3 linked regions of the Drosophila melanogaster genome follow. The protein of the gene in region 3 interacts with the protein of the main gene of each other region in a pairwise test. Each region holds a gene or a part of one and is shown on either strand. Other genes may lie near its edges. The genes, in order: CG7379, CG1635 and P5cr-2.

Evidence for each region.
Region 1: the proteins of P5cr-2 (region 3) and CG7379 interact in a two-hybrid assay, tested with the Drosophila melanogaster proteins (one large-scale study listed by BioGRID).
Region 2: the proteins of P5cr-2 (region 3) and CG1635 interact in a two-hybrid assay, tested with the Drosophila melanogaster proteins (one large-scale study listed by BioGRID).

Annotation. Positions count from the first base shown.
Region 1 is NT_033777.3:17,795,850-17,800,202, forward strand, and holds CG7379 (uncharacterized protein), read right to left. Parts: upstream 2,456-4,353; 5' UTR 2,261-2,455; coding exon 2,119-2,260; intron 2,038-2,118; coding exon 1,085-2,037; intron 1,024-1,084; coding exon 817-1,023; 3' UTR 527-816; downstream 1-526. Other genes in the region: pasi1 (pasiflora 1), read left to right, coding at 14-64, 146-229; CG17803 (uncharacterized protein), read right to left, coding at 3,151-3,391, 3,459-3,779, 3,836-4,353.
Region 2 is NT_033777.3:31,586,701-31,591,005, forward strand, and holds CG1635 (uncharacterized protein), read left to right. Parts: upstream 1-1,972; 5' UTR 1,973-2,052; coding exon 2,053-2,159; intron 2,160-2,219; coding exon 2,220-2,290; exon of another isoform or gene 2,291-2,343; coding exon 2,344-2,586; exon of another isoform or gene 2,587-2,645; coding exon 2,646-3,571; 3' UTR 3,572-3,692; downstream 3,693-4,305. Other genes in the region: rod (rough deal), read left to right, coding at 1-543, 603-1,236, 1,297-1,407; CG1638 (uncharacterized protein), read left to right, coding at 3,918-4,036, 4,093-4,145, 4,199-4,305.
Region 3 is NT_033777.3:17,534,032-17,537,489, forward strand, and holds P5cr-2 (Pyrroline-5-carboxylate reductase-like 2), read left to right. Parts: upstream 1-1,653; 5' UTR 1,654-1,741; coding exon 1,742-1,820; exon of another isoform or gene 1,821-2,001; coding exon 2,002-2,667; exon of another isoform or gene 2,668-2,739; coding exon 2,740-2,816; 3' UTR 2,817-2,892; downstream 2,893-3,458. Other genes in the region: l(3)07882 (lethal (3) 07882), read right to left, coding at 3,158-3,263, 3,325-3,458.

The sequences.
Region 1 (4,353 bases), 260 kb from region 3:
ACTCTACCGCCAGCTGGAGCAAACCTTCTCGGCCCTTTTGAACTTCGTTTGGGTAGCCTACAATGTAAGTGTTTGAAATTCAAGGGACAGCAACACCAACTCCTGTATCATTATGTTTATAAACCCATTTTACTCATCCACTTAGATCTATTGCTGGCTGGTGGTCTTCTCGCAGTACCAGATATTCCTGGAGATCCAGAATCCGAACATTGAGCTGCTCATGCCATGATGGAAGAACCTCCATACAGAAGCTCGAATAATCTATTAGAATACTTTTTGACTTGACACGCAACAAGAACTCCGTCCATGCGCATTTTTTACAATAAGAATTCCATACAATTCCACAGATGCCTACCAAATAGTTTTATATAAATTTATATATTTTACACACATTTATACACGATCAATTATACTTATGTGTAATTCGAATGCCTTAGTCTTCTAAACGACAATTAAACAAATAGATTCGTAAAACTACTGCTACTGGATACGGGCTCCTTGGGGCCAAGAAATTATTGTGGGTTTTGAATATCAACGTTTATTACCATAAATTAAGTTTAGGTGTACTCTAATTATACGAGTTTTTGTGTGTTTACATTGAGAAAGATATTGTTTGTACAGAAACTTTAAATGAAAACTGACGACCTATAACCATAGAAGCGAGGGATCTAAACTGGGTGAAAGAGGGGAAAGTCGAAAAGGGATCGGGTCTAAGAAAGTCACTAAATATACATTAAGGTAAATCTTAGGATCGAATATTTTACAGAGCCTGGTGTTAGACACAGAGCAATGGGTTGGATAGGCTGGCCTAATAGACTAGGTCTTCTCCTCCTTTTCCTTGTTGTAGCGCTCCAGTTCTTTGAGGAACTGCGCCTTGGGTTTCATTACATTTGGCCGTTCTCCGCGGCAGTTGGGGCAGAACCACTTGCCTTTTGGTTTTAGTACCAGGGAGACGCACGAAAAATGGAACCACTCGATGGGGCACAGGTCATTGTCGCACAGGATCATCTCGCCAAAGGAGATCTGCAATAGAAAACGTGATTAGTGGCGAAGCTTTTCGATAGGAAAAGCACTGCGAACTCACCTGATTGCAGACACAGTAGGTCGGCTCGTCCGGATCAATGGTCTCCGGCGGCGGCGTCTCCTCTCGCGTACTGGCATTGGCATTTGAAGCCCCAGAACCGCGTACCTTGCGCTTTTTCTTCTTGCCGGAATTATTGCCACCAACTACGCCGGCTCCGCTGGCACCACCACCTCCGGCTGCTCCACTGCTCGTGGCTGCAGAGCCGCTAGCCAAACTGCCAGAAGCCGACTGCAGACTGGCCTTTCGTCCCTGTCCCGCTCCACTGGCACCGCCCAACGAGGATTTGCGCTCGCCACTGCCACCACCACTGCCACTGGCTTCATTTGCCGAGTTGGACTCGTTGCCGCCCATCTCCAGAGAGCTTCCGTTGTTAACAACACTCTCGTTTCGCCTCCTCGACCGCTTGCTACCTGTGCGCTGCAGTTCTCCGCCTCCTCCGCCGCTGGCATTGCCATTGGAGCCGCTGTTGCCACCATTACTGACATGGCTCGAGCGCTCCGAGTTGGGCGTTGAGCCGCCACCGTTGCCGGAGGTCATGGCATTAGAACCAGGCACAACACCACCTGCATAGCCGCCCAAGGCGTACAGATCTTTGGCCGAAAGCAGGCCGTTTCCATTTAGGCCACCGTTGCCAGTGCCCGCTTGGTTGCCCTGCTCCCTCATCGGGCTCTGCAGGCGTTGCAGCTTCGAAGGCGTGCCATCGTCCAGGAGCGCATACCGATCGCGGTCCTCCTTCAGGTCCAGGTTCTGCTGGTCGGTGTCCAGCTGGCGCAGCTTGCCGTCGATTATCTCCTGCATATGATTGACGATCTGCATTTTTTCGTCGCCCAGTTCCTGCGCCTGAATGAGACTCTGGTGCATCCTGGAGATGCTTCGAGACCGTCGCCCGGCATCCGCGGAGTTCTGCAGGGACAGATACAGGTCGTAGTAGTGGTCTACGTCGCGAATGAGGCCTGCAAATCGACGGGTTTGGACCAAGAGAGGAGGTTAGGTTTTCCGCTTTTCCAACAGGCGTAATCTCGGCCAGAACTCACCTCTGTACTGGACGTCTATGTCGCGGATGCGTGACAACTGGCGCTGCACGTCGTCCGGCAGATTTTCCACCGAATCGATATAGTTGTCCACATAGGTGGCCGAATTGATGGCCTCCGACTCGGATGCAATGGGGTTTATCATCGTGTTTGGACTGCGAATCGCTCTATTCCCGCCGCGACATCGGCTCGGGGACGTGGGTTCGGATGTGAGCTACTCTTCCGGCGCTCTGGAAGGGATCGGCTGGCTATATAGTACTCCGATTCCACTCAGTTCCAACTTTTTGTATGGCGTTGCGAGTCGCAACTTGCGACTGTACTCGTGTGTGCGTGTATGTGTGCGTAGGTATTATTTATATGTATGTATACAATGGGTGGTTGTGCTTTGCAACACTAGTCGGCTGGTGTTTTGCTACACTGAAATCGGGGTGGTTAACGGCACTGCTGTTTCGGTTGAATTTTTTAATAAATAAGTAATATTGGTTTTAATAGTTTGTGGTCAAATATCTTCTCATCATTTCCCTAGGCAATAGAAAGTATTAAAAATATTTTCCCTTTAAATACAAATTTAATTATTACTTTCAGTCCTTTTTTTGTATTCATTTTATTACAATTATCGTAATTTTAAAATCATGTATCATTCATTCAACGGCCAGTGTAGGAAACGTTCAAAACCAACCCCTTACTCATTTGCCCGGGAAACTGGAGAATTTCAAATAACAGTATCAGCTGATTTTTTAATTAGGAAAAACAAATGCACTTATATTATTTTTTAATTGATTATTATTTAATATTAATAATATAAATATTTATTGTTCCTTTCATGAAACATACGTCTGAACTATTCAGATTTGTATTTAGGTTGTCAAGTCTATTCTTCATTAAGCTTAACGTTATTAAATGCATAATACTATTATACGAATTATATATTTTTAAAATATTGTTCGTGCATTATCTTCTATGTCGGCACTTACTAAACGTCACCTTAGAAGTATTACGTACTTCGCCATGAAAGTATATAAATTTTTATAAAAATTATATATATTCAATAGTTTGAGTCTTTTCATCCTGAGTTCTGGCTCGCACTTCCTGTGCATTTGGCTGCATTGGTGTTTGAGATTCAAAGTCCATTTCCTTATCAATATCTTTAAATGCTTGTTGCAGTCCATTAACTTCTTCTTTTATAGCTTTCTGCATATTATCCCGATGCAAATCGGTGTTTTTGTGTTTGTTTAGATTATATCTATGGCGGTAGTGAACATCGCAGATCTCGCACCTGGCAATATAAATCAAGTAAAGAAATAAGTAAACGGACAGTAGTCGGGATTCTCTTTTGCACCCACCGATGAGGATGCATTCCTGTGTGTACATCCTGATGCTTTGTTAGTTGGGAGCGCAGCAGGAATCCCTTTAGGCAGATGTCACAGCGAATGGGAAACTTGTCGTGCAAAGCTTGATGTCGTTTCATGGCAGATGGGTCAGCGAATTTCATCTGGCAAATCTTGCACTGGAAGGGTCTGCTTCCGTTGTGGAAGTTCATGTGCAGGACTAGACCTTTCTTGCTGGTATAACTTTTGGTGCACTGGGTGCAGTAATGGCGACTGGATCCCTCTTCCTTTGATTTCACCCGCGTTCGAATCCGATTGCCTGCTCCGTGAACATCCCTGGAGTCAATCGAAGTGATTAGATGATGGAACCATCAAATAGTAGGTGCACTCACCTCTCGTGCCTGTGACGACTGCTTGCGTTTGCGAAGGACTCATTGCAATGGTTGCAGGGAAAGGGATGCTCGCCCTTGTGCAGCGCTCTTACGTGAATGTTGCGCGTATAGAGATCGTAGAATTTCTTCGGGCATTCGGGGCACTCGAAATTCTTGGCCCTATTGTGACGGAGCAAGTGCATCTGCAGCTGACTGCGTTGGCGAAAGGTGTGGCCGCACTTGTCGCAGACATAGTTCAATGGCTTCGCTTGTATCCTTTCGCGGCGCCTTCGGTTTTTCTCCTCTGGACTCACCCTTAGTTGAGGTTTCTTTGGTAGTGAAAGCGAATACTTTGGTGCAGTTTCCTTTAGGCTATTGTACTCACCGAGCACAACCTTATAGACCTTGGCTCCGTGATCTACCTTACCAATCTCTTCCTTAGTCTTACACTTTCGTATGCTAATTATTTCATTACATGACTTGTTTTGCTCCAAAGCAAAGTCTTTTTCTGTGTCTCTGTCTAGATCCAACTCATCTTC
Region 2 (4,305 bases), about 14 Mb from region 3:
TGGAGCCGATCAGGTGGAGGCCTCCTACGAGTGCTGGAAGTTTGTCAAGGAGAAGGGCCACCTGATTACAGATCCAAAGAGTCGCGAGCAGGTTGCCAAGGTGAAGCGACGGTATCCTATTCAGAAGACCCAGCACCTGCTGTATGTCTATGGCCTGACCGATGAGAAGCTACTGCGCCAAGTTGAGAACCCCACCGAGCTTATTCAGGCGCTCTACCACCATGAGCTGATCCTCAAGTCCAGCAAAGTGGATATTAACGCTCTGGTCGCAGAGATAGCCAAGCTGCACGACCTCTGCTTAGCCACCATCCAGTACCGCCTGCTACAGAAGTGGCTCGCTCTGACTATGGAGTCTGCGGGTGATGGTACCATTTTGGAGGAGACCTTCATGGAGGAGCAGAACTGGCCGGAGCAGGCCAACGGCGCAGAGTCCTCCAACAGCCAGGACGCCAGCGAGAACGTAAATAGAGCGTTTTACATACTTTCCAGTTGGCCAAAGGCGGAGGCAGTCAAGTTCCTTGTGGGTCTGATCTTCAAGGGCGGGTAAGGATTGGTACTTAAAAGTTAGCGAAAATAATTCATTGAATAAACCCTTCCACCAGTTCGGTAAACACCTCCACACAGCTGCAAATGTACGAGTGCTATTCCAAGCTAAACGATGGCAGCAACTCCTTTACCAACACGATTAGCCAACGCCAGTTCATCAGCATCAAGTGTGTGCACGAGCTCAAGGCTCTGGGCTACAAGTCGAACCTGGAGAAGTTCTCCGACGACCATTGCAACAAGATTGACATTCTGAAGATGATCTGGCAGCGTAATGCGCAGAATCCCCTTTCGCTGGAAGTCATGGCCAACATTTGCCTGGGCTTTGATATACACTTGCCGCAGATCTGGAACGGCATTCTGAAGCGCATGGTCATGTTCCATATGGTGCGCGAGCTGAACGCCTTGTTGGATGTACTCAGCTGCCGGCCGCATCTACTTCACCTGGATGGACTGGCCCAGGCCTGGGACTATGTGCTCTGCCATCCTCTGCAGAACGCAGTCGAGCTACGATCCTTTAAGCAGGAAGAGGTGCTCCACAAGACGCTGCTGCGCCTGCAGGGCTGTCCGGTGGTGCACGCCCTCAACCTGCTACAGTTCGCCCAGCTCTGCATCGTCGTCCATCGACCGCACATGGCCGCCTCTCTACTCAGCTTCTGCCAGAGCAGCGAGCAACGCCAAAAGATCAAAAAGGTATGCTCGAACCGCGCACTTTAACGAAATGCTCTATTGTCACTCTAACTCTTCTTGCAGATGATACATTCCCATCCGGTGGAGAACCTTCGGCAACAGATCTTGGATCTGGAAGATGCTGGTATTTTGCCGGTGGTGCTGAACTTTGCGCTCAAGGAACTAAATCTGTAAGCGTAGAGATTTGGATTTTACTATTCCCATAATTTTTTGTTTTATTGGTCGAATATCTGCGTTAAGTGCGTTCGGGTCAAGATACTTTTGTAAATATCAAGGTTTTATACCTGCAAATATAGTTTATACAAACGATGACTATTTTCTATTTTAATTTTAATATGTTATTTTATATACAGTAGCAATTAGTCAATATTCAAACAGTACAATCTCTTAATTTCATAATTTATGCATCACAAAACAATGTGTTAATTTGAGAAATTGTCTAGGGAACTTCGCTTCCCAGTTTAAAATTAACAACAATCGGGATGACGTCATACGTATGTATCACTTCTGTAAACAGTGGGCTCAAGTTGATGGAATACTGAAAATAATGAGATATATTAGGATTTTTTTTAAATGAAGACTTTGTTGTGTAAAGAACAGTCAGTCTCAAATCAATTTAATTAAAGTAAATGGGAAAAAATTAATATACTAAAGAATCGAACTTTTCGAAATTAGTTGGAGACGAATTTTCTCGAGCCCACTGTACCAGTCAGCTGTGGCCGCCAGCTGTTTTCTATTTGGGGTTAGATCAAAGACAGGTTACACTTTGTATGTAACTTGAAAAGCAAGGAGAAAGCTGCGAAACTAAGTTAAACCGAGATGATGCGTTCTTTGATAGGAGCACAAAAGTGCTGGGGCCTGATCCGCACCAGGAACTTTATGGAATTACCCACCAAACAGGTGCCAGCATCCTTCGCATTGTTCAAGTAAGAGCAAAAAATAAATGATGAGCTTACATGGTAAATGAGTACTTTCATCTCTAACAGGCGTCACTACTCACCGCCCACGCATATCAAGCAATCAGCGGTCGCCAATGAATCCGGAACCATGGCGGAGGGTAAGTGTTGTCTTGCCAGAGTCAAACCCATCGTAATCCCCGAACGTCTGCAGTCAAGCAGGGGATGATGAAGCGATTGGGGCTGGAGCCCGGTTACAACCCGCTGCCCAAATCCAGGGAGCAGCTGCTCAAGTACCAGCCGAAGCTGGAGGATCTGCCTCCAAGAGCTATGCAGGATTCCTTCACCTCGGCCATCATTCCTCTGAGCACGGACCGCAGTTTGCAGGACAAATATGTGACCTATCTGGGCAATGTGCGATTCGGGCGACTTCTGGAGGACATGGACTTGTTTGCTGGTATGAGGAACACATTTGCTGGAATCTTGGCGCACTTTCTCACTATCCGCTATTTCCAGCTTGGTGCTGTCATAAACACCTGGTTCTGCCCAATCTGCCGGAGGGAGTTCATCTGCCGTACACCTTTGTGACCATTCTGGTGGACCGCATCGATTTCACCAATGTCTTGGCTTCAGGCACCCAAGATATCCGTTTGTCTGGGCACGTTTCCTGGGTGGGAACCAGTTCAATTGAGGTGGTAGTGTGGCTGGAACAGATGGTTGGCGGGAGGTACCAAAAGTTAACCCGTGCCTTGTTCCTGATGGCAGCAAGAAACGCTAACAATACCGGAGCGGCTCCTGTGAACCCCTTACAGCCGGCCAACGAGGAAGAGAAAGTGATTCTGGCTGGCGGCGCAGATAGAAAGAAGAAACGTCAGATTCTCTGTGCTCAGTCCATCTTTAAGGTGGAACCCAATGACCCGGAGCAGACAATTATGTACGAGCTGTACAAAAGGACAACTCCCACCAACACTTTGGAACTCAACAAGCGCATCCTGCCACCAAACTGTCGCTGGATGGAGGACTCTTTCCAGATGAGCACTATTCCCTCATTTCCGGAGCACAGGAACCACCACAACCGGGTCTTCGGAGGCTTCCTCATGCGAAGTGCCCTGGAGATAAGCTGGGCAGCAGCCTACCTCTACTGCAAAACGCGACCCAAGCTGGAGCACATATCCGACATCAGCTTCGAGAAGCCCGTCAGCGTGAACAGCTTCATCAAGATGACCGCCTATGTGGTGTACACCAAGGAGAACTACGTGCAGATCATGACCGTTGCAGATGTGATGGACCCACAAACGGGCAGCCAGGTGACCACCAACACGTTCTACTACACCTTCTCGTCTCCGGACACGGTTACCGAGGTGCTGCCCCGCTCCTACCACGAAACCATGTGGTACATCCAAGGTCGTCGAAAGTTCGAGGCCAGCATGGGCCCAGTGTAGACATGGTTCAGCCTGTGATTGTTACTCAAGATATTATGCAAGGCTATCCTACCAGATAAATGCAATTACCAGTTCAGTGTTTACAAAAAGCAATAAATGTCTGTTGTTTAATGATGTGCTTAACCAACCAGCTTAAAACTTTTAAAATCTTCTATTAAACCCTATCGAAGAGTACTAGATTAAATGTTTATTAATATAATAACTGTCAAAATAATCCCTAATTTTTGCCGACTTTACATTTTTTGGATACCCATTACCTGTAATCAAAAAAGCAGAGCTGAAGCAAAATTTATAGTTTTAATTTCGTGTCGGATCTGAGTTCAGATCTCGATCCCGATCCGTTTCCATGGGGCCTGGTCTTAGAAATGTTAAATTATGTGTTGTACCTTTTTTGCTCGGAGCCCGCAGCTGCCGGAGCTTGTTAAAGGCCAGGACCCTCAGGAAGATGACACATAAAAATTCCAGGTGAAGCACCAACACAACTAGCAGAAATCAGATTTTATAGGCCACATTTCTTCTAGCTCTAATGGGCGTAACTCCTCTGCGGACGGTCAATACGCCACTATGACGGAGAGTAAGTACTTCCATTCCAGAAATAGGTGCTACTTGTCCAGATATCCCTTTTAGTCAAGAAGAAGATGCTGAAAAGCTTCGGCCTGGAGCCTGGGTTCACCACGGAGCCGAAGTCCAGGGAGGATCTACTCAAGTACCAACCCAAGTTTGAGGACTTACCT
Region 3 (3,458 bases):
GTAGCAGATAAGATAGCGACGTGGCCCTGTGGAATAATTTGCAAATCAATTATACTCGTATCTGGTCGCATAAATACCAATACGTACCGTCCTTCTCCAGAATTTCGAAGCTGTCGAAGATTCTTGTTCGGTGTGTTTATCATGCGATGGATTTCAGTCTCGCCAGCTCGGTTGTTTATTGTTTGCTTTTCTAGTACTGGCAGCCAACCTCGGTAACAAGTGCGTTTTCTAATTGTTGTTGCTGCTGTTACTGCGTTTTTGTTGATTTTTTTTTAAATTGCAATGAAATTGAGTGAGAAAACAACGCACATATACAGGCGCACACGACCGACACCCGCACACACACACTCACACACGTGTAGGGGACAACTAGGGCTTGACTTTGGTAAATTTTGGTAGTATCACGAGCTTACTCCGCTACAGTGGATGCCCCTAATTCGTATTAATCACTTGTGGGGTTATATATCCGGGTTTGGAGCTGGCAATATCTTAATTTAATCTTTTATTTTGGCATGAAGAGTTTAGTGGTACCGTGTGCGGAAGTAAGTTTCATCTCCAGTTTAGTGTTACCAGAGTCTATGTTGGCTTCCTCACCACGTGGTGAAGGAGGGAAACTTTGCTGCATACGGTGAGAAAATTGGATGGAGTGGTGTATGTATCCGCTAATTAACTGACTCTCAAATCTGTGCAATTCTTTGAAAACAGTAAATATAGATCTTTTAGTTTTAGCCGATTTGCTGGACTATCAAATACCCGTTACTTAATGCGAGATATGATAAAAAGAAGAAAGAACTCTTTTCGAAAATTGCTTACTAGGCGGTATCTACTTTCCAACGTATCTAGTATACCCGGGTATGTCCCAAAATCCCTATGGCAATATTTTGTAATATACAAAGTAAATACTTTGGTTTTCTAATGTAGCCCTTTACAAATAAGCATGTGTATATCGCCTCTACTGTTATCACGCTCACATTGATAACGATTGTTATCTCTTAAAGTGCGGAATGTTTTTGAAACTTGGTAAGTAAGGATTGCCAAAGAGTACAGCTATATAGAAATTTATAGAAATGGAATCCAAAACACGAAAGTGGATCAACGCACGATTACAGGGATTACAGGGCATCGGCATCTCGCATTAATTTGGACTTCGTCACGCCGATTAATGGGTGAATGAGTTGCGGATGACAGTTGTTCTAAATGATAAGGAAATACAACGGCGGGCAAAATATTAGCAATCGCGGCACTTGAACTGTATTTTAAACTACATATTATATATAATCAATATTATCAATCAATATTATAATTGATTGTTATATAAGCTGAAATCATAATAACTTCACTTTAAATAATGGGTTGTAATTTATGATCTATTAAAAATTTGTCTCTATCTTAAGTGGATTTTAATGACTATTTTTATTCAAATATAATTCGATTGTAAAACAGCACTATTAATAGTTTAATGTTTTCTTTATTTACAATGTGTGAAAAGTTCTTAGTATTTATTATTATTTTGCCCCGCTGTCGATTGCCGAACCCACACATAGGAACCTCAATGATAAGCTCAGATCGCTGGGTGTGTTGTTCCCTCAACGCAGGGGATTGGGAGGGGGTTGGCCGGGCAAGATTTCTTATCAATCCTCGCGTCTGTTTTTGGTCAACGCCGGCGGCGGGCGCACAGTTGCCGTTCCACCAGCAGAAAGTTCAGTACTCACAGTCCGCGGACTTTTTAACCCATTAACTAATGTCGGCAATCGGAAAGATCGGATTCCTGGGAGGCGGGAATATGGCCAAGGCTTTGGCTAAGGGTTTCCTAGCGGCCGGTGAGAAAGCCACTAATAAAATAGATTTGTAGTCTGACATACTTTGTGCTAGACAATAGATAAGACACACTTGGATATGCAATATATATATGAACTAACATCATCTTATAATTAGATACAAAAGGATAGGACGTTAAGGATTTCATCATATAATCGCCAAATTTCCTAATTCATTTCCTAGGCCTGGCCAAACCCAATACCCTGATAGCCAGCGTCCATCCGGCAGATAAGCTCTCCCTGCAGTCCTTTCAATCCCTGGGAGTGGAAACAGTGATCAAGAATGCACCCGTTGTGCAGCAATCGGATGTGGTCTTCGTGTCCGTGAAACCCCAAGTGGTTCCCTCGGTTTTGTCGGAGATTCAGCCATTGAGCTCGGGCAAACTATTCCTTTCCGTGGCCATGGGCATCACTTTGTCCACCATCGAGTCCAGTTTATCTCCACAAGCTCGCGTCATCCGTGTGATGCCCAATCTGCCGGCTGTCGTGTGTTCCGGTTGTTCGGTTTTCGTTCGCGGATCCAAGGCCACAGATGCAGATGCGGATATTACCCAGAAGCTGCTGCAGTCCGTGGGCACTTGTGAGCCGGTGGATGAGTCCCAGTTGGATGTGGTTACTGCTCTGAGCGGAAGTGGACCGGCCTATGTATTCGTGATGATTGAGGCCTTGGCGGATGGAGCCGTTCACATGGGCATGCCCAGGGATCTGGCCTATCGTTTGGCATCGCAAACAGTCCTGGGCGCAGGTCACATGGTGCGGGACAGTGGTATGCATCCCGGACAACTCAAGGATGGGGTCACAAGTCCGGCGGGATCGACAGCAGCGGCACTCAGACAACTCGAGCTGTCAGGTAAGTTGGGATGATGACGCCGATGACGCACTCGCTTATCGCCGCCACTTCAACCTTTGATGTCGATTGCAGGTTTTCGGGCTGCGGTGTCTGGAGCGGTGGAACAGGCGACTCTGCGATGCCGGCAAATCTCGGGAAAGACGAAGTAGGCACATAGGATTATCATATACATATACGTACATTGGGGTGGGTCAATTTTGTTATTAAAGTTATAGTAGTTAAAGGAAGTCGTTAAATTTTGTTGCTTCTTGAAGAAACATGTTTTTAATTTGGAAATGTATGTTGGTGCTATAGTGCTTTCAAAGAGCAATGATGAGATGTTTCATTTTAATCGACCCACCCTTGTGCTTAATCTGGGTTAGTAGCTTTGCATAACTATAAAAACTGTGAAGGCCGATTTCGTGATACTAAAATATAAGCAACACTGCTATATTCTTTACTCTCAGCTTTGTTTATAGTCTAGCTAAAAATAACTAATTCAAAGTCGAGCCTAGAACTTCTTCTTCTTTTTGGCCCGGGACAGCTCATTGAGCTCGCCCTGTTGCACGGATGCCTCCTGGTAAATGCGCTTAACCTTCTCGTGGCGCTCCTTGTCACTGTGGATATGAAATACAATAGATTAGAAAGGAACGGTTAAATTGTAAATGGAACACAAACCTTTGCAGGGTCTGTTTGAGCCTAAGCATCTGAACGAAGGACGTATCTCTGCGTATTTCTCGAATGGCACCCTTCTTCTCGCGCTTGATCTTGTGCAGCAGTTTGGCCCGCTCTTCCTTGGCCTTGGACATCTT